Drosophila melanogaster: one gene and its partners. The protein of the gene in region 2 interacts with the protein of the main gene of each other region in a pairwise test. Each region holds a gene or a part of one and is shown on either strand. Other genes may lie near its edges. The genes, in order: bib, CG16985, CG2017 and Yp1.

What was found.
Region 1: the proteins of CG16985 (region 2) and bib interact in a two-hybrid assay, tested with the Drosophila melanogaster proteins (one large-scale study listed by BioGRID).
Region 3: the proteins of CG16985 (region 2) and CG2017 interact in a two-hybrid assay, tested with the Drosophila melanogaster proteins (one large-scale study listed by BioGRID).
Region 4: the proteins of CG16985 (region 2) and Yp1 interact in a two-hybrid assay, tested with the Drosophila melanogaster proteins (one large-scale study listed by BioGRID).

The regions. Positions count from the first base shown.
Region 1 is NT_033779.5:9,981,827-9,989,536, reverse strand, and holds the start of bib (big brain), read right to left. Parts: upstream 4,893-7,710; 5' UTR 4,588-4,892; coding exon 4,391-4,587; intron 2,749-4,390; coding exon 2,582-2,748; intron 1,937-2,581; coding exon 1,810-1,936; intron 1-1,809. UniProt on the Drosophila melanogaster protein: Essential for proper differentiation of ectoderm. Acts synergistically with neurogenic locus proteins Notch and Delta during the separation of neural and epidermal cell lineages in response to the lateral inhibition signal.
Region 2 is NT_037436.4:2,594,603-2,600,935, reverse strand, and holds CG16985 (uncharacterized protein), read right to left. Parts: upstream 1,617-6,333; 5' UTR 1,580-1,616; coding exon 1,556-1,579; exon of another isoform or gene 1,501-1,555; coding exon 1,435-1,500; exon of another isoform or gene 1,357-1,434; intron 1,249-1,356; coding exon 1,104-1,248; intron 1,040-1,103; coding exon 825-1,039; 3' UTR 694-824; downstream 1-693. Other genes in the region: CG16986 (uncharacterized protein), read right to left, coding at 1-66; CG12182 (uncharacterized protein), read left to right, coding at 1,617-1,671, 1,866-3,742, 3,794-3,946; CG16984 (uncharacterized protein), read right to left, coding at 4,087-4,904, 4,961-5,066; dos (daughter of sevenless), read right to left, coding at 5,890-6,333.
Region 3 is NT_033777.3:5,855,530-5,865,345, reverse strand, and holds CG2017 (uncharacterized protein), read left to right. Parts: upstream 1-2,940; 5' UTR 2,941-3,068; coding exon 3,069-3,176; intron 3,177-3,443; exon of another isoform or gene 3,444-3,599; intron 3,600-4,041; exon of another isoform or gene 4,042-4,356; intron 4,357-4,941; coding exon 4,942-5,614; intron 5,615-5,825; coding exon 5,826-6,703; exon of another isoform or gene 6,704-6,761; coding exon 6,762-7,034; 3' UTR 7,035-7,263; downstream 7,264-9,816. Other genes in the region: side-III (sidestep III), read left to right, coding at 1-197; ECSIT, read right to left, coding at 7,446-8,675; disp (dispatched), read left to right, coding at 9,438-9,593.
Region 4 is NC_004354.4:10,050,812-10,057,654, reverse strand, and holds Yp1 (yolk protein 1), read right to left. Parts: upstream 3,845-6,843; 5' UTR 3,739-3,844; coding exon 3,519-3,738; intron 3,442-3,518; coding exon 2,342-3,441; 3' UTR 2,157-2,341; downstream 1-2,156. Other genes in the region: CG15312 (uncharacterized protein), read left to right, coding at 1-359; Yp2 (yolk protein 2), read left to right, coding at 5,072-5,306, 5,375-6,468. UniProt on the Drosophila melanogaster protein: Vitellogenin is the major yolk protein of eggs where it is used as a food source during embryogenesis. Along with Yp2 and Yp3, and their receptor yl/yolkless, required for maintenance of microtubule plus-end orientation towards the posterior pole of oocytes.

The DNA of each region.
Region 1 (7,710 bases), on a different chromosome or scaffold from region 2:
ATGAAGTTCATACTCGGTTTTAGCTCTGTGGTACTTTTTTTTAGCCACTTGGCCACATGTGGCATTTGCATCGCAATTAGGGTAAGTGCCAAGTGACATGTGACAGCGGAAAAGTGGAGAAGCCAGTGGAGGAGCAGCTGAAGTGGCAGGTCCTTGGAGAGTGGGTGTCTTGCCCCTAGATTTTTTAAAAATGCTCTTTGTCACACATTGTTGGCAGCGAGGGAACTAATCGTTTTCCTGCATTCCAAACATTCTACATAGAATCTTTTATCTTTACTATATAAGCTATAAATCCCTTGCTAATCCCAACTAAAGTTGCTTATTATATGGTTATGTGTAAGGGTTACTGGCTCAAAGCTTAAGAAAATCATGGATAAATTAAGTTTAACACCCTTCATAAAATCACGACGATTTCGGAGAAATCGCCAGGCGCAGCTATAACCTACATATATATGCTATATGGGCTGAATCTAAACCAATTAATCAGCACACACAGGCAGCTGTGGGGAAGGAGCTGAGCGGTTCCCCCAATCTCCTTTTTTTTAGGTAAACATATGTTCCAACTAAAACACTCGATGAACTCGTTGGACCCTAAGAAATCCATATCGGAGGAGTAGAAAGAAAGAAAAAAAACCCCGAACCTGATCGCAGCAGCTGAAACATGTTTCTCCTCGTCCCTTTCTCCGCCTCCTGATTCTTGGATCGGATCTGTAGAAAGTAAAGATGCCAACGCACTTAAAAAGAGGCTTCTCTTCGAGGGTCGAAACAGATGTCGAGCAGACAATCGGGAAGAGGCATTAACATTAACATTGCTGCCAAAAGGAGTTCAACGCACAACAAAAAACTGGAGCGACATTTGAAAAATGGTGCGCATGCGCAGATATATATACATATATACTCCTCTTTCCCGTTTCGTTCGTCCTTCGTCCTGCGATTTTTGGTTACACAAAGGAAAAACCGTGACAGGCAGACAGATTTTTGGCTAGCTGGTGTGCGTGTAGATCCTTGGCCTAGAGGGTCCTTTATCTAGGCATCACAAAGAAATTTCATTTTCGAAGCGGGAAATCACTACGCAAACATCTGAGCATAGGGGCAGATGTTTCTTCGCCAGATAGAGAATCCTAGCCTACCTGCGTCCTTTTTCCTGCAGGTGATTGTGCATATGCATGTGTATGTGTGTGTTCGTCCTAGGTTACCTGCACATTTCTTTTGTAGGATTCCCCATTTCTACGCATTTCACGCTTCCTGTCGTGAGTCCTTGTTGTACAGTCATCGCCCAAAAGTGCGTTTCATCTGTCTCTATCCGATTTATCCTAGTATCCCTCTGTCCTCTCTCCCCGTGCCTGTCCCACAATCTTTTGATTTACGACTAGGTTCTTTGGACAGCCTGTTGGATTTAATTTGAGACTCTTCAGTTTGCTTTTGGGCAATTCCACACGCAGGATGCACGATGTCCTTCGCATAATGCAGCAATTGCTGTGGTCAGGCGTGCAAATATACACAGATTTAAATACACTCTTGCACACCGAAAATTTAAAATGAATTCCTGTTCAATTGAGTTTGGCGTGCTGTATGCGACAACATAAGGCTTTTAATGCGGGGATTTGATGTGCATAATAGATAGCCTCGACTATCAATGGCTTTGCTCAATCAATTGGTTAAATTATTCATGTGAGGCTTTTCAAAAGGATATCGCTTTAAACTCCATTTATTGGGCAATGTTTATTTATGATTTTGGCTTACTTGTTTTCAAACCAATGATTTGTCTACTTAAGATATGTGTAACTTAATAAATACGAAAAAACTTACCCATAAAGCAGAGCAGCTCCGGCGATTCCTCCGCCACATTGTGCGGTTATGTACATGGCAGCCCGGATCGGAGATATGGATCGCACTACGCATAGAGCCAGGGTTACGGCGGGATTGATGTGGGCGCCTATGAAGGGGAAAGCATATCTTTAGATACTGACGTCAATCTCTGGTGGTGGCCACCCAAAGGGGAGCAACATTTAATATCAATTTGACACTTCTTCGGAAGGCATTTCGTATAGAACAACATCATAACTTAATGCACAACCAATTGGCTGTGAAAAGGCGGGGAATTGCAAGCCAACACAAAATGGGGGAGTTGCAGGAAAATCAAGAACACATGTTTCAAGACGCTTTTCACGATGGGGTCCCAACTACATTACTTTGGTCTTTGGTCTGTTTTCATTCTCTTTTTCTTTTTTTACTTGTAAAGACATTTAATTGCCTTGAATGTCAACGCAAATGAACAAATACATAAATACCAGAATAAATGCAAGGGAATAAGGGAAAAAGAAAGAAGTGGTGGAACTTGGCCCGGGGGCGATAAGATTCCAAGGAGCTGGAGTAGGTGGAGCCGCACCGAGTGCATTGCCTTCTCGAAAGTATAGCAAACAAAAAAAAAGGGGGTTCCGTGTGCTGGCTGGTTATGGTCATGGGGCTCCCTTGAAAACGGCAGTTTCCCACGCAATTCCAATGGGCAACCCGAAAAGAGACACTTGTCGCCCCATTCTGTTGATGTTTTTGCGCTTGTTTATTGTCTCCTTCGACTTACCCGAGATGTGGAGGAAGCACTGCGTCAGTGTAGCCATCGCCAGGCCGGAGGCCAGAGCCGTGGCCAAAAGCACGGACGACACACTGGCCCCCACTCCGACGCCAGCGGCGGCACCGCAGACGATGAACACGTACATGAAGGAGGCCAGACACTCGCTGATGATGGATCTGGAATGGAAGAGGAATGGAAGAAGGCGAACGAGCCCGGGGTTAGCATGGTTCCGCAACTGGGTTTGGTTTGCATGTGGCTCCACCGACTGCATGTGGAATGTGTACAGTACAGTGAATATTGGTTGCATAAACATATATTTCAGCGCTTAAGTATAGTAAGGCTAAGCGTGTTGAGCCAAAGGATTCATACTGAAATCAAATGAAATCCGTTTCAAAGTTTTTGTCGTGCAGCCCTAGACTTTTCCAAGTTAGCTGGTATCTACTGTACGGCACAAATCAAGTTGCACACAAAGCTCTTTTTTGTTGCCCTCAAGTCGTGGAGTGACAATTAAGCAGGGGGCGGGTGGGCAGGCTGAGGAGGAGCTGGAGGGACTGCGAGTGGGTTCTGGAGCGGATGGGGGAGCTCTAGGGGAAGCGTTCTGATGAGCAGCTGCAATGCTGCCGAATTCAGTTGATTCACATTAAGCTAAAAAGCGCAGAGTCCGCTGCACGATAACGAAAATGCAAACAAATCGAGGGCTTTATGAATTTCCATAAAATCATGTATTCAGCTGTTTAATTTGGCAGCGGCACTTCACTTTAATTGGAACTAAATATGTATCTCAACTTCTGCCTAAGTTCTCTGCTCCCCACTAAGTTCAAGTTTTTCATTTTAAATGGTCAGTCGGAGGACTTGAGACAAAAGGGTCCCGCAGTTTAGCCGGAATTTAAGCGCTCGACATGCTGCTGGCTAAGATTTAATTACTCCATCAGCTCGTGATGAAATGTTTGTTATTTGCCAGTTCCCTGAGCAAAAGGTCCTTGTATGGGCCACAAAGTGCTCGAAACTTTGGCCGTGTTTAGTTTGGCGATTATCTTGATGATGTGCGTCTGGAGAACACTTGGATTTCAATTACTTAGCGTTCAGACAAAGCCAGCTGACATCCAACAATTGCCATCTAAAGTTGAGCAAATTGAAAGCAAGTGCAGATAATGACTACAAAAACAAAAGGTTCGAAGATGATATACACGCGAAAAAAACCCCGCCATTTAGATTGAAGATTTAGTTTAGATTAAAAAGGGTTAGTTAATATGCATACGAGATACAATCATGTTTTACCCTCTCTAATTGTAAGTATTTGATCATACACAACAGATTGTGGTTTTATTTAAAATCTTAAAAAAATCTTAGTAAAAATGACATTTTTCCCAAATCATTACTCTAATTTTCTGCACAAAAATTATCAGTTTTTTTATCAGAACATTTAAAATAGTTGTCTGAATATTGAATGTTATACCTCGTTAAACTCGCAATTAAATTCCTAATCGAACTGTATTTAAAAACGACAATTCAATTTTTTTGCCATTTTTTTTCAAATTTTGATGATGTTACCCCTTACAAAAAATGTGAAAATTCACCCAAAAATTAATTTTCCTAAATCCTTCAAAAAGTGATAGGGTTCGATAGCTCTGGTAAATAGCTGCTCAAAACAGTTATTCTTTCATCAATATGAGAAGTTTTAGCGAAGTTATGACAAAAATGCCGCTTGTAAATATCAAGTTTTTGGCAAAAGACGTTTTTCCGAATTTCAGTCATTAAATAACATAGTTAATCCCGTATATCTATATAAGTATTTGTCCTAGGGCAGGCTTGACTTACCTCCAAAACTCCAGCGTGCGAATCTCAGCCTGCATGCTCCGCTTGGGAGCCTGCAGGGTGCTGGACAGGCGATTGTTGACCCCGTGGCCACCGCCGTGCGAGTCCTTACGCATCGCCTCCAGGCGCTCGAATAGCGTCACGATGTGGTAGTCTATGTTGTGCTCCAGGGGCACGGTGTGCAGACTTTCGTCGGCCATGTCGGACTCAAAGCACGATTTGTTTATGTCTACTAATTAAGTAGTTGAATTGAGCGAAACACGCGACAAGAGGCGGCGAAGCTGGCGAATTGTTGGCTGGTCGATTGGCTTCACTTAGACACACATTTCGCACACTGCAAATTGCACTCAATTTATGTCAATTGACGAGTTTCTGAACTTTCGACCGATCCGTTGTGATTCGCCTTCTACTTTGACTTTGACTTCGAACCGAAAACACGTCCGTATTCAAGCGCGAGTGGTGAGCGAATAACCGAGTCGAGTCAGAGTCAGGTTGCTTCTGCTCGCCGACATCGACGTCCACGGCCCTCAGGAACAAGTTGAAGTTGCAACACAACTCACCACCAACACCACCACCACTATCGCTCGGCGGCGGCAGCGAAACAGCTGCCCACTCCACCGACGCAGTGGTGGATAAGCAACCCCTGCACTGAGAAATAAATAAGGTGCATTTGTCACGCAGCAAACGATGGAAATCTGCAAGCAAAAACAACGTTTTAATATCATTATCTTTCCTATATATATTTTGAACGATATACTTATATAAACGTATAAGTAATTTCCAACAACTTATACTTACTTATATAAATAATTTTTTAGTTGCACACTTCTAAGTAAAAGCCACATTTTATACATTAAATAACCTCATAAGATAATATTTAATATCAAATATATTGATTTCACAGTTTCCAAAATATGCTCAGTGCATTGGAACGGAATGGAAACGAAACAGAGGTCCTGTCAACCTGTTGGTTTTACCGCCATACATGAGTAATGCCTCGTACTCACCACCCATTCGGCAGCATAATCATAATCATAAGTTGCTAAGTTAATTGCGCAGCACTGATCAATAACACAGATTCCAGATTCCCGGGACCCAAAGATGATGATGATGATGATGGTTGCGACGATGAGAATGAGGATGATGATGATGATGATGGGGAACACAGGCAGCTGGGCCTGGGAGCAGCTTTCATTGAAAGCATTTCCCTTTTTCGACACATTAATGAAATGTAAAATAATCTGCCCGAATGGGCAAAAACTTTCATTAGATGAGTTGGGCATGCCACTTTTGTGGTTAACTCGGTGTATTAAAATAAAACTGATTTCGATCCCAGGACCATCACACTGGAATTCGCCAAGGGAAAATTATAGTTATGATATAGTTGCTATAATAGTTAGTATATATAAAATTATACATATTTTATTCCCGAACATATCGATAATAAGATAATAAATTAAAACACATCCATTATAGATTACAAGATGAAGCCTTTTTGTGATTTAATATGTATGTATGTATGACATTAAATTCTTTATGTAGAGATTTAAGTACTTTAAGATTGACCATTTTCTTGAGTGCACTTTCGGGCCAGAAACTCCAAAGGGAGATGCCGAAAAAGGGGCCATTCTCACCGGTTCACATTTTCCGCATCACTAAAAACTATAATTATGAGCCCTAACCACTTGATACCCTTACCTGTCAATTGTCAAGCTGTCCTCGTGTGAGTCGAGTGATTCTTCAAGCCCAATGAGCTGTGAAAGTTAAGAAATTAGGTTCGCCACTCCGTGGACGAAGTGAAATCAATCACGCAGACTTCTTTGCCCGGCCACAAGAAAAGAGGGACTCGAAGAAAGCGAGGAGGCCTCAGAAATTTCGTCACTGTTGCGATTTTGTACATTATTTTTTTTCCGACAAACTTCGGAAAAAAAAGGGGCGGAGGAAGGCAGGGGGCCGTCGGAAGGACGTTGCCATATATGGCACGTTGGAGCACCATGATGATGACGATGATGATAATGGGGATGATGATGCGGAGGAGACGCCGAAGGAGACGAGACGACAAAAGGCTCTGGCTCTGGGACCTCTGAGCGTGGGAATTATTTTGCACACACTCTCTGTGTGTGTGTCTGACTTTTTGTTTTTCACTTTTTATTTCGTATTTTTCGCTTGTTTTTACGTCGAGGTCGCACGGGGTCGTTCCTTTGGCCGGTCGAAGGTAAGGTAATAATAAGATGTTTTGTTTCAATCACATCGTCGTCATCATCATCATCATCATCACCATAATCATCGTCGCCGGTCTTTCTGCTCGTGTGCATGCAAGATCCCCTTCCTGCAGCCATGGAGGTAGTTCAAGTTAGTTTCTTAGTTATTGATTTTATCAATATTACACTTTTTAAGTCATTCTTTGATATGATATCAAAGATTTAAGAAGGAAATTAAAAGTGATTGTACCTATGGAGAAGAAGTAAAGATTTTAAATAGATTACTGAGAAGGTAAGAGCTGTTAAGAATTACCCGTAGAAAACAATTTTAAACACATTCACTAAAAATTTAATACTTCACAATTGATAATAATATTGATAAGACCCCCCTCTGGATACATCCATGTCCGTACTTATCGTGGGAGAAAGACAACGAGAGTAACCGAATACGCTCATCTCATTTTGGAGATATGCTGTCGTTTTACTCTTTTTGTGGGAGAGCAGAAAAGAATTGGAGATGAAGCTCTTATCCTTTTCATTCTTTTCCTTTGGTTACATTAAGCTGAGCTTGATAATGCGCCGCATTTAATATACCCATTACTACTCAAGTTCTGAAGTATTCTCTATTCGTAACTTTGTAGCTTCTAACTGTGTAACCAATATATGGACAAATGTTAAAAATGATTCAAATTTCGAAAAAATTAAACAAGTTTATTTACTGTATGTACCATATTTTCACGAATTTAGTACGGATGCCTTTCATTCGAAAATATACCCATAAGCATGCTTTTTACCCTTTTTGTAATTGTTTTTGCTTACACAGCTACAAATGACTGAGAGATAAGATTACAATATAAAAAGAAAAGGATATTTAAATGAAAGAATTTATTCAAACCCTGAAATAAAAAAACATTATTTACCTTCAAATTTCAAATGAAATAAAGTTCAATTTACTAAAGTAACCACATTATCTTCATCCTTATTGCTTGCAGTGTAATGACCACGTCGTGGGTGCAAGACAGGATGCCACGGAACCTTCGGGAATTCTCCATAGTGCAGGTTGCCGCAGTTGCAAATGGATGTGGTGATGGTGTCACGATGCCTCGCCTGCTGGGGCCGAAA
Region 2 (6,333 bases):
CGTTGACTTGTTGATAATCTCGGTGATGTGTTTAGCGAATTCGAGTCCCTTCTTGCGAGTTCCCATATTATTTATTGATGTTGCTTTACAGACGATCCGCTAGCTTCTATATAACTACAAAATGAATTAGTTTGTCCGATCGGAACGATTAGAAATATACTAGATTTAGTTTTGTAGATAGATAAGTAGTCGTAACGTGCACTTATATCTCAAGTGTCAGATAGTAATTGTTTTACAATAGAACAATCCAACTTTATTGTATGTATGACGTGTGTAAGTTTGGATGGGACTAAATCCATTAAAAAATAAATCACAGTAGTATATTAACAAATGGATTGCTTTGATTTTTTCAATATTTGATTTCATTATCTTCGAGTGCAGTTTTCCGCTTTTCGATGAAAAGTAAACAATTAGCAAGTATCAAAAAATAAGGTAAACATAATATAGCACGATATTATGAAATAGTTAGTATTTAGTTAACGGATCCTACCTAACTATCCCCGTACTGCCCGAAATTTACATAAAAATCTGAAAATCTAACGTAACACCTAACAAAACAATTTCAAAACAAACAACAGCTGTTTTGCGATAAGCAGAATCGCCAATCGATAAGTTAAAAGGGCAAATCGATATGCAAAGTCCTACCTATTTAAAAATTATCCGTTGGGATTTCTATAGTCTTTCATCTATTTTAGTTTTAAATATCTTTATTTTGTAAATTAAGAAATAACTAACTTAAGAAATAATAAATAATTAAACTAGTACGTCTTAAGCAGAGGTTCGAAAGATTTTATTTCGTTTTCTGACGATCTACAAAAATTGTTTTAAAAATCCAGTTTTTCCTTGTCGAACTGAATGTACTTGACCTGTCCGCCCTTGGCGATGATCTTTCCATCGGACTTACGCCTCAGAATGCAGTCCAAATAGGCCATTTTCTTACCGGCCCGCACGGTATTACAATCAATTTCAATAAGTTCGCCAGGTTTCGCTGCTGCAATGTAGCTTACATTCAGGTTGGCCGTAACTCCGGGATGGGATCCTTGAAATTTAAAAAAATTTCATTGTAGATTCTATAGATTGTAATAAACAAACTTTCAAAATACCTTTCGACATAAGGGCATATGTGGTACAATTATCAACAATTGTTGCCGTAAGACCACCGTGCAAAGTTCCTTGGCGATTCAAATGCTCATTGGCCACAGTGAACTCCCCTATTGCGCGACCATCTCCACCGCCTGTAATTTTAATCTGCGAATTGAAATTTGTTTACATTTTTGAATCTCTGAAGATCCCACGAGAGAGGTGAGCACTTCACGGTTATCGATTGCAGCGAGCTGAATTATGTAATACCATCACTGATGACAGTCAGCTGTTTTTGAGAGACTTCGACGGCGTCGCTTTAAAATCGGCTGCACAAATTGTTTAGAATCTTACCATTTTCAAGACGCGGTCGAATCCATTGGACCCGCTGGCGTACTCGGACATCTGCTTCACAAAGTCCTTTGAAAAGAAAGAACTTCAGTTATCTACTCAACAAGTTACATGGTGCTCTAACCATTCCCAGTTTCTTGGCCGCCATTCCGGTGGATTTGGATTCCTGAACTGAGCACGACGAAATGACGAAAGTTACTGAGGGAGAAATTTCACATGGCGTTCAAGATGTCGGGAAATGTGAGTGTATGCGTGCTAAATAGATATACCCACACATCTGAGATAGTGATTGCCGATTTCGCGCGGTTTGTTGTGCTCGCTCTGTTCGCACTTACAAATAATTCCTATTCTTCAATGAAATAGTGTAACTGGAATATCTTGTAATATAATTGCAGTTTGTTATTGCAATTAATAAATGTTTAATTTCGTTCTAGATTATCTGGATTTTCACCTTCTAGCCAAAGGATTCGTCCGCCAGGACTCGGTACACGACTTTGTAAACAGCGATTCCGATGGAGACTTTATAGCACTGAGCGGCTCCAAATCGGAAGTGATCACTCTGGAATTGAGCAGCAAGTTCATGGTCGTGGATCCCTTTCCGTATTTTGTGGCCATTTATGATTCCAACGCTGCGGAAACACGACCTCTGGACGTTTTGGCCAACAAAGTGGATCTGGTTGCCATATACGACAGCTGCGATGTCCTGGAGGCACAGCACTTGGCCCTGGACCCGGCATACACGGCTGTGTGCTCCGTTGCCGTGCCACCAGCCAGACTAACAGCTGTTAAGCGAGCACCCAAGCTGGCAGCTAATGGAAATCTCCTCCTGGGCTCCCTCAACACTTATGGATCCTTGAGCCTAATAAACAAGTCCGCTGAGTACAATCGTTGGAACCCTGTGGAAGGACTAAATATCGCTGAAACTCTGAGGGACACTCTGCTGCCTGAAGTGGACATCGCCAAGATAAAAGACTTTAAGAGCTATCAAGAATATATTAATCCCGCCTGGATCACTATGTTTGCTTGGTTACCTGATGATGCAGATGCCACTGGCCAGCATGTTTTGGTTCTGGGAACAGCCGCAGGAAGTTTGTGGTTGCTCACACTAAGCGCCGATGTCAAAACTCTTTTAAGTCATCAAGAAACGAAAACCTCAATGGGTCGTATCTGCCATATACAAGCTTTCAAGGACCTTCTACTGGTGGGCGATAGCAACGGACTCATTCACCTGTACCAATTGCCAGCTAAGGGAAATACAGCTCTCGCCTTAGTGAAGCCCTTGTGGGAGAAAGCCGATCGCATGGGTCTGCAAATGGCAGTGATCACTGAATGTCCCAGAATGGATTGCTATTATATAACCTGCTGCAAGGCGGCGCACCTGCTGACCTGGAGCATGCCAAGAACGGGGAGCACAGACTGCCTGCAAGCTCGGATCTATGTCGGCGGAATGAAGATCACCGCTCTCTGCAGCCTGGAGAACAGTAGCTACGTTGCAGGAACCGCTGGAAGCTGTTTGTCTTGCGTACAAATTATCCACGAGAATAATCAGCTTAGCCTGCAGATGCAATCGATAGCCATGGGTGTCCTTCAGGATTTCCAGGTGATGGGACTGTGCACCAGTAGGCACAAGAACTTAATGACCCTGTTACTCTACCGCAACAAGGAATATCTAAATGAAACTGTATCTCAAAAGAACCAGTTGGTTATGCAAGTGCTCAAGGTGGGGAATCAGGATCCACTTGATCAGCTTGTCAGGCATCTGGAATCCAATAAGCCCATGAATCACTATACCGATTTATTAGCTGGACTACGTCTGCACGTTTTTGCCGAGGAGAATTGGCAAAAATTTATGGACTTTTGTCCATTAGATTCCATTGAATTTGCCGATACCGCCACTGAAGGTCAGCTGCAGCAGCTGCAAATTAAATTTCATGTTCTTCAAAACGTGATTCGCCTGCAATCGAGCCACCTCCAGCTGACAGTTCACATCCAAAAGTCCCGGGATGAACTGCAGCTGCTCCTTGCGATGCTGAATATCACACACATAAGACTGAGGCTCCAGTTTATTGGGTCATTAAGTAAGAGATCACCATTCCAGGAGCAGGCGATAAAATGTATGTTCGAGGAGGCCCACAGACTGATAAATAAACTCAATGACGACTTCACGGAAAACCATGCCCTAGGATCCACAGCAAGGACATTCGTTGAACAAATGGGCAACCATATTCAGCACTTGCACGAGATGCTAGGTATACCTGTGATATCTAATCCCCAGAAGCAACTTCATCGATGCAGTGTGTCCTTTGTGGAGGTAAGAATTCACTAGAATTCATTTTAAGACAAGACTACAGTATCCGTACAGATCTCCCTCAGCTTGGAGCGACGCTACTGCAGCCTCTGCAACCGCCAAATCCTATTCGAGCTGGACAATCTGCAAGAACTCTACGAGTCGGGGAGACATCTGACATGTCCCGTTTGCCATGGAAGCTTTGCCACGGAAATGTTTAATGCATAAACGTTAAATTTATTCTCAATCTTAATTACGAAGTGTTTTGTGTGTCCGCCTCTAAGAGCAAAGCAAGTGAATCCATGGAGACACCTCACTCGGCTTCCAGATGCCGACACACATGGTCAGAAAAGGTGTGTGTGTCATTGTTAGTACTCGGAAACATAGATAATGGGAGTGGTCTCGATTAGCAGAATGTCCTGCTCCACCTGGCGAAGATCGGACTCCAGCTTGCTTTTGCGCTGCCGCTTGGCGATGCTGTCGATAAGGAGCGACATCGACTGATACTGCTTGGTCATCTCGGTCAGGCTCAGTCGCAGTCCCTCGAGGATCTCATTTCGCTCGGCCTGCTCCATCACCCGCATACCCGGCATTGGCGGCGGACCACTTGATTGGACGGATGCCCTGGTGAAACCCTTGATACCGCGGCACAGCTCCAGCAAACGTGCCTGTTCCTTGGCACACACCGCATTCATGTCGGCCAACATCCTCTTGGTTTTCTTGAGGTAAACAGGCACCTTGCCGAAATCCTTGCGGCAGATAAACTGCGGTACCAATCCGGAATTGAGTAGATCGTGACGAGCTCCCACGGGAGTGTCTACATAACGAGGTGGCGGGGGACAGGGAACCGTTTGTCCGGCACATATCTTGTTGCGTTTGATGAAGTTAGGTACCATTGCCGGCTTTTTGCCGCCACTGCCCGGTGGTGGTAGTGGGGGCATTGGCGGCATCTTGGGACACTTGTGGGTGTTCTCTCGCCGCCATTTGATGCCCTGGCTCTTGCGCAAATAGGCGCACGGTGGGTCAATCGGAGTGTGAGCACAGCCCATGGTGCGGTGGGCTGATTTCTTGGCCTCTGTCAGGACGCGGGTTCCATCGTTCTGGAGGATAATCGATAGCTTCTTGTCCTCCTCGTTAAAGCGTTCGCGAAGTCTCTTGGCATACTTGGCTGCCCTCTCCACAACAGCTGCAAAATTGCTTAAAGTTAGGTGGGAGGTAACGATTTTTAGTACGAATCCCTACGATTTTTGTAGACAAAAATTGATTCCTTAGGTCCTTGGGCCTTCACAAAGTCCTGCTCGCACTCGAGAATATTCTCATCGTGATGGGTGATATAAACCAGGGACATTGTAATACAAATATGTAAGGATGAAGGTAGGGAACTCGAAAGCGTGCTAGTTTACTGACTATTCGTTTAATAATAACAGTCTGTTTGGTGGAGACTCCTGCGTTGCCAAGTACCTCTGCGTTGACTTGGATTGATTTAACTCGAAACAAAGGTTGCTATAGGATTTCCAGAATAAACAGAAGGCAACATCGTTTCCTGGTGATATTGTAATATTCAGATATTTTCTAGCAATCGGAATTCGATATTTGTTCTGGATCTTTTAGGAGAACACACAAAATTGGTATTATTGTATATATATTTTTTAAAGCACAAAATCAAGCTACAGCTTGTGTCGCACACGAGTTACATTATTAAATTGTAAATAATTTGTTACCATATAAAATTCGTGTATATAAATATTTCGCTTGCGTATATAAAATAATTGTTTGCATTGTAAAATTAGCACTAAGATCGTTTGTCATGGTTACATTTTGATTCCGAAGCTTAACAATAAACATGGAAGTGTTGGAAGCACGATTTAAATACGAATACGACATAGATTCAGATACGGGTTACAGATTACAGATTCAAAACAGCACACAGAAATGCTGGTGCCGTCTTACAAGCTAGATATGTGGTTTAATGAATAATGAATTTGACGATGTTAACGAATGTAAAAGCCACTCGAAATTTGCACTGTTTTTGGATGGGGTCAGCTCTCCTCAGCTGACCACCAATAGGCACTACGAAAATCTCGGATCAGCAACATGGTCCTTCCTTTGCTATTGCACGTTGACAAGTAGATGTACTGGAGATATGATTTCATTTAGCTGAACCAGCAGTTTCACTTGTTGCCGCTGCTCTCGCGCTCCTCTCGAATCCTCTTAAATGCCTCCGTCTTGACAAAGTCCACGGATCTATAGACCACGCTGCTAGGCACTGGCGCTCGAGCTCCGCCAGCTTCGACGCCTGCGAATCGCATTCCACTAGCTCCATTTCCGCCTTGTGAGTACAGATTCCCCACACTCATGCTGGATCGATTTAGCAATGGCGGTTTGTTGGTCACATCCAGATCAAAGTACTGCAGCTTGTGCTCAGTCTGCGCCGCCGCTTGCTGCTTGGGAGCAGCTGCTGCCGTCAAGCTCATCATGGCAGCCGCTGCGGAGGCGGTGCGCTGATGTTGTACCGACATGCTGCCGGGACTGTTCGGATGATGCCGATGCTGTTGGCGAGGCAGGGTGCGGGTCTCGTGAAAGAAGGCGTTGGCTGCCGCCGGGGAGTGTACATC
Region 3 (9,816 bases), on a different chromosome or scaffold from region 2:
TGGGGATGGGATTGGGAGTGGGCGTTGGAGCAGGAATGGGCGTCGGTCCTGGACCGGGAATGGGCATGGGCATGGCATCGACGATGGCCGGCACGAGCCTGTCGCCGTCGCAGCTAAACACCATCACGCACAAGTCGGCGGCAGGACGAAACCACATCATCACGGACACACTGCCCGGGCCGGAGAGCTGCGTCTAAGCACCATCCTGTCGTCCTGGCATGGAAACCAAAAGACTGGCGCACAGCAGTAGCCCAAAAACACAGCCGAATCAGAGTGACACCGAACAACTACTAGTCATGTGAAGCTGCGGTCAAGTTTGCGGTGAAGGGGTTGAATGCGTTAGTTAATCCAGGTCAAGCCACCCTTATAAGTTTACTGATTCTACAGACCAAGTTTGAGAGTATGGAGTATAAAGTATACATGGTTTTATAGAAAAATTTAAATCTATTTCGAAGAAGATACGTGTTGTTTTTAGTAAACATTCGGTAAATTTTAAATGTTTATGTTTGTAAAACAACATATCCTAAATTTACGAACTACACTGTAAACTAAATAATTTTAGGATTCCAGAAATCACATTTTGTTAGTTGTATAGCGTTTTGTAAGCTCTATTATCTGATTAATATAAGATTATTCTAAACTAGAAATGAAATGGAGATTATCATTGTCAAAACGAAACTTTCTTAGAATAAATCTGTTGTAAAATTAAAAGTGCTGTAAGAAAGCCAATTTTAAGTTGGTTTTGAGTTTGGTCTTAAGCGAATTTGAAAAGAGGGTACTACCAACTTGACCGCAGCTGTACATTTAAAAACCTTGTTCGACAGCGTCGCTTAGAAGTAATTACTAGATGTAGAGGAGTAGCTAAAGTACGAATATGTATATGTAATACGTGTGTCTGTGTCTCCGTTCGTTTGTAAATGTTTAAGCTAAGTGTAACCGTAGATGTACTTGTATACTATATCCTCCGACTGGTGTAGGTCGTAGCCCCTCCCAGCCCCGCGCCTCGTGGTTCAGTCTTTAATTTAAGGGGCGACCCCCAAGGTGAAACTAATCTTCCACGACCTGTACCCATTGCGAGGCCGAGTGGCTGGGAGCAGGGCTCTCCAACTCGAAACTCGTTGTTGAATCTGTTTGTCCCGGCTAAAGTGAGAAGAACACATCCCCCGGAAAACATAGCCCCTCCTGCCGCAGACGCACTATTTGAACTGCCCTCCCGCAAACGAGATCAAAGTCGGGCCGACCCGAAAAAAGGCAAAGTTATATTGGACACGTCTTGCGCCATTGCGTGCCCAGTGCTGGTCATTATTTAACTTTTAAACACGCGCCAAAAACAGCACCAGATTTGAATTTAATGGTCACAGCAGTTGCTCCCGCTCCCGCTACCGCTCCGGCTCCACTGGCATTAGCAGCGGGGCCAGCCAACAAGTGAGCAATAAAGAAAAGTTTAGAAAAATATCCCAATCCATGCTGCCGGCCGAATCACCAATCCGGAGTACCCCATCCCAAATGAATGGGTATATAGAACTGGGCACGGATTTGTGCGCACGATAGCGCAAAACGATGACAATAAATGGAAAACTTTTTAATAAGCTAATAAAATGATTTATGCGGGTCGAGCGATAAGAGGGATAAAAGGCACGGAGTTCCACTTCCAGATGGCCATTTGATGGGCCCGATTCCGGCCAATTCCGACAGACAGACACCTCATTGACGAACGCCAACCAGTTGGACCTGAGCACGCACACACACACACACATACACAACGAATGTATTCTTGAGCATTATTTATTGGATATTGAATGGGTCGGCCCAGCTCGCAGGATTGGGGCAGTTCAAGAGGGGAGCGTAGCCCCCACCCCCCCACCACCCTATCATCCCCCTTTCATTGGCAATTGTTATCAAGGCATTAGCACATCGGAAATGCTATACGACTATATCATACTCAAGACAAGGGCTAAACGACTATAAGTGTTCTAACGTTTGTCATATCAGTTGGGCGATTCAGTTCTTGACTTTCTATCGAAAAAACGTAATTGAAAAAAAGAAATGTATATGCTAAGTCATCGATAGCGATTAGTAAAATCAATGTAATGTCATAATGTTTAAATGTAAAAGTTATAGCATCCAGGTAACTGGTAGAGCAAATCGTAAACTTCCTCCAAGTTTATACATATATAGTAAAGGTCCCCGCTGTAGATAACCAAAATCGAGTGCCAGTAGTGCAATTTTAAAACGATCCCCAACAACCTGTAGCATCACGACATCCCCATGATCCATGTCGAGGTCAGCAGATACTATTTTATGAGCCTCAGAGAGGTCAACGATGTACATACATACATGCAAGCCCAAGTCCCGAAAACAGACAGACATACATACATATACACATCATTGTAACTGACTACATATGTAAAAATGCTTAAAATATTTGTGATAAAGTAATAATGTTAATGATAAGGAATAAAACGTAAATATATTAATGAGAATACATTGAGTTTGAATTAAAGCAATTCGAGTTGTATTTTCATTGCTGGGAGGCACAAGGTTTCCTAAATTCTTTTTTTAGCAATCTAAAAACGTTACCATATCTTCACTCATTTGAATGATTTTTTGATACCAATACAAAATTATTTTGTAGCAAAGCAGATGTTTTTGAGCTTGCAAGATAGCTCCATCGAGATTGGAATTAAGTTCTATGCTGGCTAATAAACTTATTTGAGTAAAATTTACCAAAACGAATTCTCAACACTAAAGTACTAAAGTAAAGTATGGAAATGTAGGACATGCAGATGACCGCCTTCGCAACCCCATTTATTGTTAAAAATACGTTACTATTTAAATTTGAAAAATGTGTGCCGTTCACAATGGACGCCCCGTCAGCCAGTGTTGGTAAGGGTGCGCAGCAACTGGATAGGTCAGTGTCCAAAAGGGACTAACGCGTGGCGAGCATAAACATCTGTTTGTCGGAGTCACAAAATGTAGGAAGTTTATGGTTTATAATAATTGATTGGATTGCTGGCGCAACTTTGGCGTCCCCGAAATTTGAAGTGTGTTGTGAGTGCTTAACCCACATGAGTGCAAAATTGCCATGGCAACGTGAATCGAACACGAACAGCAACACCCACACAGAGACCATTGAAGATCCGCGCATTGTGGCGCAGTATTGCATCAGCAACTGCGTAAGTGCAGCACATTGACTCCATTTTTGTTTTGCTGATGAAATCGCAGCGCGATTTTTGTTTCTTGTGAAATTCCGCTCTATGCTTGCCAAGCTTTTGTTTGTTGGTTGCATGAATTCGGTAAACGCGACAGTTACTTCCCGGAATTCAAACGGAAAGGAGCTTTCCGCGAAGCGTCCTCAATCAATTTCGAGATAGAGATAGAGAATAATAACGCAGCTGACGCGGTCAAAACAAAAGCGCTTGTGTAGAAAATCAAATGCGAAGCAAACGCGGCGAGGACAAGACGCGAAAAGCTGTCAAAACTACGCGCCGAAAAAGGAAAGGGTCTGGTCGATCAGAAATCCGCTACGCAACACAGATTGCGTATCTACATAAAACGTAATAATTTAATTGTGTGGGAGTTATCTCACAATTAAGAAGGTTCGTTTTTAAACTAAGTTTCCTTATTTGAACAACAATCGTAGAACTAAAGAGGTGTGTTTGAATTGTGGAAAGCCAAGCATTAATTGTTGAATAAAATTATCAAACGTCGCGGCTTCGCATCAAAATCGTGAAAAAGTTAACTTTTATAGTTCCAGTGTCGAAGGACGTAATGGCGTGTGACGTAATTAAACATTGTATATCCTGCCTTCTAATTGCAAAAATAAAGTAATTAGAATTAAAACCTATAAATTTACCATTTATCGTTAGCTTTAGTAATTAAATAGGTTCGTAATAACATCCCGCATTAAATATTTAGGTAACTTTCTTCTTGTGGAAATTCACTAAGTTAATTTTTTTAAGCTCAACCCCCACTTGCTAAACAAAAAATACGTTCCATGAAAGAACTCAAACGCCCTAGGGTAAGGTATTGCGAAAGCTTTTGAAGTATTCAGGTGCTTGTTCTTCGGTCAACAAAGCAAAACAATCGGGAGCAGGTTATAAACAAAATCGAAAGGCACCCAAAAGCGGAGAGCACAAGTACGCACACAACTACGAACTACAACTACAAAGCACAGCACTCAGAACCCAGATAGCCGAACGAACAACAAATTCGACCTGGGCAAATGAAAAGCGCAGCCAAAATCGATATTTTGTGCCAGCGTCGCGCGCAAATAGGAGCTGCTTTAGCGCTTAATATCTCGAATAAACTCGAGCGGATTGGTTTGATTAGTGAGCCAAATATAGGGATTATCTGGTAAGATGTTTGGAACTTGTCGTATTATCGACCTTCTGTTCCACCTGCCCCCGCGCGTGGGCTCGAAACAACGGCCAGAGTCGTGGCAAACATAAACAAGCATTTTCAAGGTCGCTGCAAGTCAAAGACGGCCAAAAAAACAAATGGGGAAAATTTCAGTTTTGATGGATACACATAAGCAAACGGTTCCATCAAAAAGATACATAGAAGTTGAAAAATAATTGTTTTTAAAGTGAAACAAATGACGTGGTGTCGAAATAAAATTAAAAAAACTTTAGTACAATATTAAAAGTTATTTCAACCCAATTATATTGGGTAATTCTCAGACTAAATACAGTACAGTATGAGTAAACAAATCAAATAATATTTACTTATGCATGTATCTCATTGCTATTATTTCAGCCACGGCTGTTCGAAAATCTGTATGTATGTACATAAGTATGTACATATGTACATTTTCGATGTCGCAATTGGCCCAAAAAATGTTTTCTTCTCAAGACAAAGAGTTCCTTTGTCTAAACAGAATTTTTACCATTTACCTCATCTGAATTTTGTATTTATATGATCCACGCTTCCCTTTTGCAGCAACACATTATGGAGTCCTTCCTGAGTCTCTTTGATCCCAATCAGGACGACGGCTTCGAGGAAGAGCCCGAGCTCAATGGCAACAGCAGCGGCGGCGGAAGCAGCAGCAGCGACTATGAGACGGACGCCAATGCCAACGAGTGCAGCGTAGTGAGCGGGATGCCCACCGAGCGGGGCAACCTGATCTTCGACTTCGAGCAGGGAATGCTGCCACCAGAGCCGCAGCTCGGAAATGTGGAGTACAAGCTGAAGCTGGTCAACCCGTCGAAGCAGCGATTCGAGCACCTGGTGACCCAGATGAAGTGGCGTCTGCGCGAGGGAAACGGCGAGGCCATCTACGAGATTGGAGTATCCGACGCCGGCTATCTGCAGGGACTCAGCGACAAGGACATGAATGCCTCGCTCACCACGCTCAAGCAGATGGCCCACAGCCTAGGAGCCAGTACCTCAGTGCTGCGGCGAAAGACCATCGCCGCCCGACGCGCCGTCGCCGAGGTACTGGTCCGTAAGATCCCCGACGACCAGCACAACATCGAGGTTCGGGTGGCGGTGCTCGGCGGAGCTGATGCAGGCAAATCCACTTTGCTGGGCGTGCTTACACAGGACGAGCTGGATAACGGACACGGCCGGGCGCGGCTCAATATGTTTAGGCACATGCACGAGATTCAGTCTGGTAATATGTCGTTATAAGCACTAAACACAGATATAAATTAAATTAAGATGTTTGGCATCCATTTTAAATTGTCATCAATAAGGAATATATCAGTTGTACTACATTATTCATACATCTCTCGTTTACAAACTTTTTTTTAAATTATATTTATCACTCACAAAGTCCGGTTTGTTTGCTTGAAAATTACCAATTTGCTCCTCTTTTCCTTAAGGCCGCACCTCCTGCATCTCCCACGAGACGCTTGGCTTCGATGCACTGGGTAATGTGGTCAACTACAAGTACAATGAGATGATGACGGCAGAGGAGATTAGCGACAGGTCCAGCAAGCTGGTTACCTTCATGGATCTAGCCGGACACCGACGCTACATGCGCACCACCGTGCAGGCACTGAGTGGATACTCACCCCACTACGCCATGCTGGTGGTATCGGCGGGCAGCGGTTGCAACGACACCACCGAGGAGCACTTGGCTATCGTGCGGGCACTGGACATGCCCTTCTTTGTATTGGTCACGAAGACAGATATCACATCGCCGGACGCGACGGTACAGGAGTTGTGCAACCTGCTCACCACCATTGGGTGCCGGAAGGTTCCCTTTGTGGTGACCAACACGGATGAGGCCATCTCCGCCGGGTCAAACCAGATCTCCGAGAACATTGTGCCCATCTTTTGCGTATCGAATGTGACCGGCACGGGACTCAACCTAGTCACAAAGTTTCTGTACGTCCTTTCGCCCGGAATCAGCAACGCCGAGAAGGATCGACTCGAGCAGGAGTCTTGCGAGTTCCAGGTGGACGAGATCTTCCGGGTCTCTGACGTCGGACCCGTTGTGGGCGGTCTACTTGTCCAGGGCGTGCTGACCGAGAATATGGCAATGAAGATTGGTCCGCTTCCCGATGGTAGCTTTCATCCCGTTACTGTTAATACTATCCACCGAAACAAGGCTCCTTGCCGAGTTGTCCGAGCTGGTCAGAGCGCTTCGCTGTCTTTCAGTATGGATCAGGATGTGCCCACGCTACGAAGTGGCATGGTTCTTTTGGGTGATATTGGAAATAGTCTGGATGAGCCCTACGGGACCTTCTTCTTCCAAGTGAGTTGCTAGTTTTCATTTATCGTTACCAAATAAATACATCAACTTCCCTTTGCAGGCCAAGGTGTCCGTGCTGTTCCACGCCACGGCCATCTATGTCGGCTTCCAAACCACAGTCCACATAGGCAGCATTCGCCAGACGGCCGTCATTCGGGGCATTATGGGCGGCGAGCGACTGGGCACAAACGATTGTGCTTCGGTGATGTTCGAGTTCGTCGGCCACCCGGAGTACGTGCGTCCTGGAATGCGCATCCTGTTCCGCGAGGGCACCAGCAAAGGAATCGGAGTTGTCACGCAGGTGTTTCCGGTCAACAAGACAGGCATAAAGTAGAGAAGCGGGCCAGATGGATAGTTCCAATGACATATCTATATATCTCAAACAAAGATGACATGTACATATACTTAATTAGCAATTAGAGGGAGGCGTTAAATCTTAGGCAGATCTTCTGTACACTTAGTTTCGGGTTCTGTGATTTTTCGTTTAAGCTCGGCTCACAATCGGATGTTGTGAGTAATCCTTCTCAATTAACCTTATTTCATTAAAATCCACCCCAAAATGCATACAATGTTGCTTTCAATTCGCGTCCGAGCCAAAGAGTATAAATAATTACCGAAGTATTAATTTTTTTCCTTCTAGCAGATGTACATATATATGTACATATGATCAAAACCGACTAACTTTAAGCAACATTTACCATCAATTCTATGGTATACAAAGACGAAAAAGTGCTCAACAATTTGTTTATTTCTGTCTACTGCTAATGTGCTCATCTTGACTACTGTTATCACTTGTTGCCGGGACACTGGCGCCACCTTCAATTTCCTCCGCCTTGGCTGGCACTTCGGATGTGAACCGGAAGAGGACGGGCACCTCTCCTATGGAGGGATTTCCGTTCGCTTCCAACAGGCGAATCCACGAGAGCAATGAGTCCTTTGTGGAGGTGCCTGTGGCACAGATGGCCATAATGGTTCCGTCGTCCTGTTGGTGGACAGAGCGCAGCTTTCCCAGCTGGTTGTGTCGCCTTGGTGGAGCACGACCAAAGAAGGGTACTTCGATGTGGGAGACATCGTCCTCGTCCAGCTGCCGCTCATCTAATTCAGACAGGAACTCAGAATCTGCATCAGCGCGCAGGGTAAAGTAGTTGATCCGGCGATTCCTAAGCCATATGTGAAAGGGTCCCTCGATGTACAGAGCTTTCTGGCGAGAGTGCTCCCGCAGCAGTTTCTCCTGCTCGGGACTCATTCCGCTCACGATCCACGTATCGTCAATGGCATCCTTCAGCTCGCTGGTCTCGAAAACCGTGATTTTGGACCGCAGGTCGACCGTGCACATCCGCTCTAGCGCCAGCTTGGCCATTTCCAATGTATCATCCGGAACAGGATCGGGCAGTGGCCACGGTGATAGGTTCTTAAACTTTGGCATCCAGTACATCATGCGCCAATACTTGCGCAGTGGATGTCCCTGCCTGCCAAACACATTAAGCAGCATCGCCTCCATCTCGTGATCGGGCATCACCCCGCAATCTTCCATCTGCTCAAGCAGATCAATGATACACTGCTGCTGTTTGGGGTAGTGCATGAACTCTGCCTGGAACATGTTGGTGGGTATGAACTTGCCCTTGGGCATCACGTTGATCAGGGCCTTGTAGACCTCCAAGTCTCTTTCCACCCCGAAATCCGCCATATTCTTGAGTGCCGCGTAGATGAACTCCACATGGTTCCGACGGTGGACGTCGCGCTCCTGGAATATCTCCACCATGGTCAGGTAGCTGTTTTTCGTCCTGTCCTGGGCGGCGGCAAAGGGGTTCCTTAAAGCCGGCAGGTTTTTGGTGCCGGGTTTTTGTGCCCTGGGATTTGGATTCGGGTTCTGTTTCGGATTTCCCTCGTCCGTAGCGTAGTTTCGAAAGCGGCTGACCAGCGAATGGCCTCCATTGCCGTGCAGCCGGAGCAGGCATTGTGCGCGGCGCAGCATTTTTTATTTATAATTAATTAATTGAATAAATTTGCAAATACGATTACAAAACATTGCACAAGCTGCGGAACTAGTTCGCGTTTTGCAGCACTGCTGCTGCAACATATGTTTTAATAGTGCCGATAGTCTAGCGTATTTAGCCAAATTTGGTAAATTCTAGGGCGAAAAATTGTATTTAGTTTCGGCTGTACCCAAAGATTTTCAAGCTTAAATAGTGTCATGACCGTAATACACGCTTAAAGTCATACGCTAGTAACAAAAGTTGAAGTGAATATTGCATAAGCTCATTGTGACTACCTTCACGAATCTCTTCCTTCGGAGAACAGCTGTTTGTCTGGCTTAGGGCCATCATCACTGGTGACTGAGTTGCTCAACACTGTATTAACTCAGTGTATCCTTTGTGCTGCTTTTTGTTGTTATTTCACCGTTTTCTGCGTTATCCTTATTCGCATAGTTTTCGGTTGTTTTTCTGTTGTTTAAGTTAGTTCCGAACCCTGAGTTATTTGCACGGGCGCGCGCCTACATAAAAATGCAATCCAACAAGCCGATCTCTGCGGCGGAGGCCTGACCAGCAGGCAGTATCTATAACAGAAGCAAAACAATAGACTTTGGCTTGGTCCCAAGGAGCACCCACCAGCCCAACGTTATTCGAGACTTCCAGCCGCCAAGGATGCACTGAAGGGAAGCGGAAACCCAAGGAGCATTTGATGTTCCCGCAATGCGAAGAGGGTAAAGAGGATTCGGGCATCACATTCTACTGACATGTTGTGCTTCGACTCGGAGAGGATGAACTGGTACTACCACGTCCTGGCCAGGCGTCCCTACCTGGTGGTCGTCTCCATTGCTGTCTACTGTGTCGCTTGCATCATCGTGGCCCTCGTCCTGAACAAGCTGCCGGACTTCAGTGATCCCACCTTGGTTTGTCCTATTAGATTTGTCCAAAACATGTTCACTGCTTGATATTTGGAGAATATATCTTATCTTATTTTACAATTATTTTTTAAAATATTGAGCACATGGAAATAATCCGAAAATGTCTAAATGATATTATTTTATTTAAATTTCGTTATATATCTATTTTTTTTAAATATTAAGAAGTTAAAATATTTTAAATATTCACAGAATTGCTATAAGAAACTAC
Region 4 (6,843 bases), on a different chromosome or scaffold from region 2:
GCGGACCAGAGCCTGGTGGCCAAGGTCATGGGGGCAGTGCTGGCGATCAGGATGCTGGGGAGGATGACGATGACGATGTGGCCATGCCATTTCCGCGCACCATCATCTTTGGCCAGCACCATCGAACGCCTCCGCCGCCGCGTTTGCATTTGCCACCGCAGCACCACCGCCATCAAAACCAGAGCCACCACCATCAGTATCATCATCAGCAGAACCAGCAGCAGCACCACCACCACCACCTACGGCGGCAGGACGACGATGATGACGACGACTACGAGGAGGAGCACGAACCCACCATGGAGCGGTTCAAGCGTAAAGTCTCCGTCTTCTTCACCGGACCCACCATCAAGCGTATTTGAGACGTATTTGAGTACAAACACTGGTCACCAAGGTTGTTGCATTGCTGCTTGATTGGATAGTTAGGATCCACCTCTACATCATATACATAGATATAGAAATGAGAGAGAGCTTATCGATCGATCGAATGTTTCGTTTTCATTTCGGTTTCCTGTCCAAGCTTCAACTATGAAATACCAAAAAAAAAAAAAAAAAAAAACAAAGAACGCCACAAATCGCCAGAGATTTTGATTTAGAGCTCATTGCATTGCTTCTATGCCCCGAATCACAACTATATAGTATATATACACGTATTATAAATATAAACCAAAACAAATATATTGCTGTGATACAAATTCAATTGAACGAACATTGTAAGGATTTACCATAAAGCACACGAAACACCAAAAACCCAGCTATTAACCATCATGAATTTGCTGAAGCTCGTAGCTATAAAGCTCATATTGTATTTTGTCTAGTTAAACACGCTATCTGAGTTACAGCCACTGGATTATTCAGATCCACATATATAGACGACAGAATTTAGCGGACAAGTTAGCTTAGAGCCTCAAAAATCGCCCAAAAGAGATCTGTTACCAAGTACTAATCAATATAAATGTCCTTACACCCAGTCCGTTTGTCTGTTAGCCCGAACTAATGCTTTTCTGTAATTGTAACTGATTTTATAATATTTAAAATTAAATTAGTCAATTGTAACAGATCTCTGATAGTCTCTGATAGATACCGGACTATATCGTTTGAACTTGTCCTTGTTTTGGTTCCGTTGTAAAGATTTAACAAACTGTGAAACAATTTTATAATTGAGCAAATATTTTGCACTGTAGAGCGCACCAAACGATCTATATATAGATATATAAATATATATATATATATATATTTAAAACCGTGAAAAACGTTTGATAAACATTTTAAATAAACGGCAAAATGCCTTGTGCTTTAGTTCGGCCTCAAAGCTAAATAAATTGATTATGATATGATATAGGAATATTTATTAACGTAGTTAAAGTAGCCTGAAAACCAAATATTCAAAGAAATGAAAATAAAAATTGCTTCCACTCACAGTAAACAAAATCTAAACAATGAAATTGTTATAAAAGATAAATCAAAACTAATTTTAAACAAGCGAATATTGTGAATATACCGAAGCAAAAAAAAAATATATATATATATAGTGAGAACGATCACAAAATGTGTGGAATGTACATAAAGATAGCGAGTGGGTATCTTAAGAAAGACTGTAGTTAATATTTAAGACACTTTGGCCTGCGCTTTTACCAATATTTTTGTGGCCCAACTTGGCCCGAACTCCTTGGTTCCAACAATATTTTGCATTGATATGCTAGAGCTACCAACAAGTATATAGTATTAATATTTCTAACAATTCGGAATGTGCACTTAACTAAGCGAAGATTGAAACTAAAAATCAGAAGATGGAAACATCCTATTTAAATAGGTGGAAGTTTAAATAAGCAAAAGTCTCTCGCCTAAGCCCTGATCCTAAACTCTTGGCTGTATTTCTAATTGTTATCGCTTCATGTTGAGGTTTATTGTTATAACGCCAGCCTCCCATGAGCAATACTCCCCCCAAATTACCGTAAACAAATTATTTTCTAATCTGAGCCCAAGCCATAAGTGGAGAAGATTAGACCTCAACACCACAAAAACACCGACAACAATAAAATAAATCTAAGTTTACAAAACCAAACTACGATATTTACTTTTGATTTTGTTCCCTTTTTTTTGGGATGATCTATTAGACTATTATAGTTCCTAAATGATTTAAGATAAACAAAATAGATATTTTTAAGCTCTTTATCGAGCGTTTATTTGCTGAATTTCGCGATGTGCTCGTTAAATGTTTAGGTAATCTCAAGAAAAGGGCCAATATGGGTTCAACTTAGGGACTACAGTGTTTGTGTGGTTGGGTGGTTGTTTGTTGTTTGGTAGTTGCCATTCCAGGTGTCCAGAGTAAGCAGACTCATCCTTACTGGTAGTCCTTGCTGTCCTGGTTGGTGTTCCACGCCTGGTGGACACCGTGGTAGCTGCTCTGCTTCTGGGCGGGTGCGTTGCGGCCGAAAGGAGACTTGGGGTTCACCTGCAGAATGTAGTCACCCTCGAGATCGTGAGCGGTATCGATGCCCATGTAGGCACGCTTGCCGAATCCATCGTTCTGCTTGTACTGCTGCAGGGAGTTGGCTGGCACGGCGGGGAAGCTCCTCTCGTTTCCGGGACGCACGGACTCGGCGAAGTAGCGGGTGGCACGCATGGCGGCCTCCACCACGTTGCTGGCTCCGGGAACACCGGCGGCAGGTCCATTGGGATAGAAGTCAACATCACCGGAGCGGATGGGGGTGCCCATGCCGTAGACCGAGGTGTGGATGGCGTCAACGAATTCAGCATCACCGCGAGCCAGACCGGTCAGGGTGTTCTTGCTCTTGGCCACGATCTTGGAGGGATCCAGACCGGTGACACGGCGCAGCTTGTGTCCGGTGAGACGGGTGAATTCCTGGGCAGCGGCACCGGCAACATGGGCACCCACATTCTGGCCAATCAGGTGAATGGTATCGAAGGGCATGTCCAACTCGTTGACCATCTGGACGATCCACTTGCCGATCTTGGCGCCGGTCTTCTCAATGTCGAGCATGGCATAACGCTCATAGGTGTTCAGCTTGGAGCCCAAATCGATCACAATGATGTCGCCGCTTTGGGTCTTGGCGTTCTTAACCTCCTCGCTGTAGTCCTCCTCGCTGCTGGTCCTCTGGTTCTTCCTCTGTTCGTTGCTCTGATCCTGGTAGTCCTGGTTGCCGTTCTTGCCGTGCTGGCGCTGCTGCTGCAGATTGTAGCGCTGCATGTAAGCCTGAACCAGCTTCCTGGTCGCCTTCTTCACGGTCTCGCTGGTCTGGGGCAGTCCGGTCACAATGATGGTCACCTCATCCTCACCAAAGTTCTGCTTCTGCTTCAGGCGCTGGATCATCTCGTTCAGGGGAGCAACGGTCTTGTCACCATTGGGCTTGGGCACATAGACCTGGATGCCGCTGGGCACATAGTTGGGCTCAACGTTGTGGTGGATCTGCGACAGGTGGTCTACAAAGGATATATATATTCCATAGAATATTCGATGTTTTTTTTTTTTTTTTTTATCTGCATCTAGGATTACTCACAGACTTGCTGCAGCAGCTCGGCGCCACGCTCCAGGTTCATGTTCTCCAGACGCTCAATGGTGAAATCGTCGAGGGCGGGAATGGCCTCCAGCTGGGATCCGGAGAGCCACTGCGACGGCTTCAATGCCTGGTTGACGGAGTTGTCCATACGGCCATTGGGCTTGGCCAAGGCGGCGACCGCCAAGCAAGCCAGAAGGCTCAGCACTCTCATGGGGTTCATGGTTCGGATTTGGGATTTGGTCCTGCGGATGCGACTTCAACACTGAGTGAGTTGAACTGGCCTTCCAAATCCAACGATGGTGGTTTATATACCACAATTTGCGCTGAGCGATTTCCCATTTTCTGACTCGCTTTTCGCTGGCTCAGGCCTTAATCGGTCACTTGTGCTGAGTAAGGGTTTTCGGGTGCCTGGGAATCGGATGAGTGTATATGCTATCGATAGCGGAATAAATTGTATACATACAAAATAGACACGGGGCCTACCTATAGCTGACCCCACTGATGACTTAGCAGCACCTGCTGCCGCCTGATTATTTTAATTTGTAATCACTTTGTAGGCTCCGCTGATTGCAACATTGTAGTTGTGCACCGGATTTGATCAAATAAATGCATAAAATATAGATCTAACATGGGCATTAGTTGGTTATTATATACAACATTTTATTGATTTTTTTTGTTTATAAGTAGATTTATATTTGGCACTTTTCTTCTGCTTAATTAAAAGTCCATAATTTTGCATTTTCAATTCAAGGCCGATACAGTTCATTGATTCCTAGATGTTTGCCATTGATACGAAAAGTATGGAATGTTTGTAGTTTCCAAGGCAAGATAGTAAGATTATATTTGTTTTTGGACTTTAGAAATGAATTGATTCAGGGGAACGTTTTTCAAGGAGATTCTATTTTAATATCCGGGATTCGTTTTATAATATATGATCTTATCGATGCTATTTCATGTAACTCATTCTACTTATTAAAAATATATGTATATTTCGATAGATGTAAATATTTATATTTATAATATTATAATTTATAATATATTTATTTTGCATTTCCCTGAAAGTGCTATCTGCTTATAGAACAATTTAGACAATTCTTTTGGCAAACACTTAAATAGTTGCATAAATTTCACAAAATTGCCAAATATTTTTTTCAAACAAAAGCTTTATCTTGACCTGTGCATGAGTTCAAGTCGTGCCCCCACTGTCAAGCCCCTTAATGGCCAGACCACCTTTTGTTTATGTTATGAAAGTGCTGGTTAAAGAAGTTTCCCATTACCTGTTACCCGATGGATACTTAATAACCAAAAAAAAAAAAAAAAAAGGGGAACGAAATTTTAGAGCTCATCAGAAGTGTTGCAAAATCACTGACGCTGCGAATCAATGCATTTGTGCTGATCCAGAAATCGGTTGCTGAAATCAATTGCTTCCGGCGCGTGCATTATAGTGTGTATAGACTACCGATTCCAAGGGGTATAAAATGCATTGAGTCGCAGCAGTGGGTATGCAGTACAATTTGGTACGGTGTCTGAAAAAGTCGAACTTGGAAGCCACAATGAATCCTCTGCGCACCCTTTGCGTTATGGCCTGCCTTCTGGCGGTCGCCATGGGTAATCCCCAATCTGGTAACCGTTCCGGTCGCCGATCCAACTCCCTGGACAATGTGGAGCAGCCCAGCAACTGGGTCAATCCACGTGAAGTCGAGGAGCTGCCCAACCTGAAGGAGGTTACCCTTAAGAAGCTGCAGGAGATGAGCCTGGAGGAGGGCGCTACGCTGTTGGACAAGCTCTGTAAGTTCAAGGATCTCTAAAAGTTCTACCAATCATGTTATATTTACACGCACTATCCTATCCCGCAGACCATCTGTCCCAGTTCAACCATGTCTTCAAGCCCGATTACACCCCGGAACCCAGCCAGATCAGGGGCTACATTGTCGGCGAGCGCGGCCAGAAGATCGAGTTCAACCTGAACACTTTGGTGGAGAAGGTTAAGCGCCAGCAGAAGTTCGGCGACGATGAGGTCACCATCTTCATCCAGGGCCTGCCCGAGACCAACACCCAAGTGCAGAAGGCTACCAGGAAGCTGGTGCAGGCCTACCAGCAGCGTTACAACCTCCAGCCCTATGAGACCACCGACTACTCCAACGAGGAGCAGAGCCAGAGGAGTTCCAGCGAGGAGCAGCAAACGCAGCGCAGGAAGCAGAACGGTGAACAGGATGATACCAAGACCGGAGACCTGATTGTGATTCAGCTGGGCAATGCCATCGAGGACTTTGAGCAGTACGCCACCCTGAACATTGAGCGTCTGGGCGAGATCATTGGCAACCGTCTGGTTGAGCTGACCAACACCGTGAACGTGCCCCAAGAGATTATCCATCTGATTGGCTCTGGACCCGCTGCCCACGTTGCCGGAGTGGCTGGACGCCAGTTCACCCGTCAGACCGGACACAAGTTGCGCCGCATCACCGCCCTGGACCCCACTAAGATCTACGGCAAGCCCGAGGAGAGGCTGACCGGACTGGCCCGTGGTGATGCTGACTTCGTTGATGCCATCCACACCTCCGCCTACGGCATGGGTACCAGCCAGCGATTGGCCAACGTGGACTTCTTCCCCAACGGACCCTCGACCGGAGTGCCCGGAGCCGATAATGTCGTTGAGGCCACCATGCGTGCCACCCGCTACTTCGCCGAGTCCGTGCGTCCTGGAAACGAGAGGAACTTCCCCTCCGTGGCCGCCAGCTCGTACCAGGAGTACAAGCAGAACAAGGGCTATGGCAAGCGCGGCTACATGGGCATCGCTACCGATTTCGATCTGCAGGGCGATTACATTCTGCAGGTGAACTCGAAGAGCCCCTTCGGCAGGAGCACTCCCGCCCAGAAACAGACCGGCTACCACCAGGTCCACCAGCCCTGGCGCCAGTCCTCCTCCAACCAGGGTTCCCGCCGTCAGTAGATCATCGCACAGTGATCCATCGATGACAACCAGATCGCACACCCCTCATGCGAGCGAACCACTCCAGCCCATCCTCATCCAGCAGAACCCTCTGCCAGTTGCATCCACTACGATTAGTTAGCTTTGTTTTTTTAACTCACAATAAAAAACGTTTGCATTTTTAAACATTCTAAAGAGTTCAGTTCAATATCAGAAAAAAACCCCAGTTCAATTTACAATAAAAACAATTGCTTATGTCGAAATATTTGAGAGTTCTAAATGCTCATTATATAAAAATATCCAAAACCAAATTATGCAATGCCACTGAGGTCATAAAAGAAGCACACAACAAACATTTGGATTACATGATATGTTTATTTGATAAAGAAAGCATAT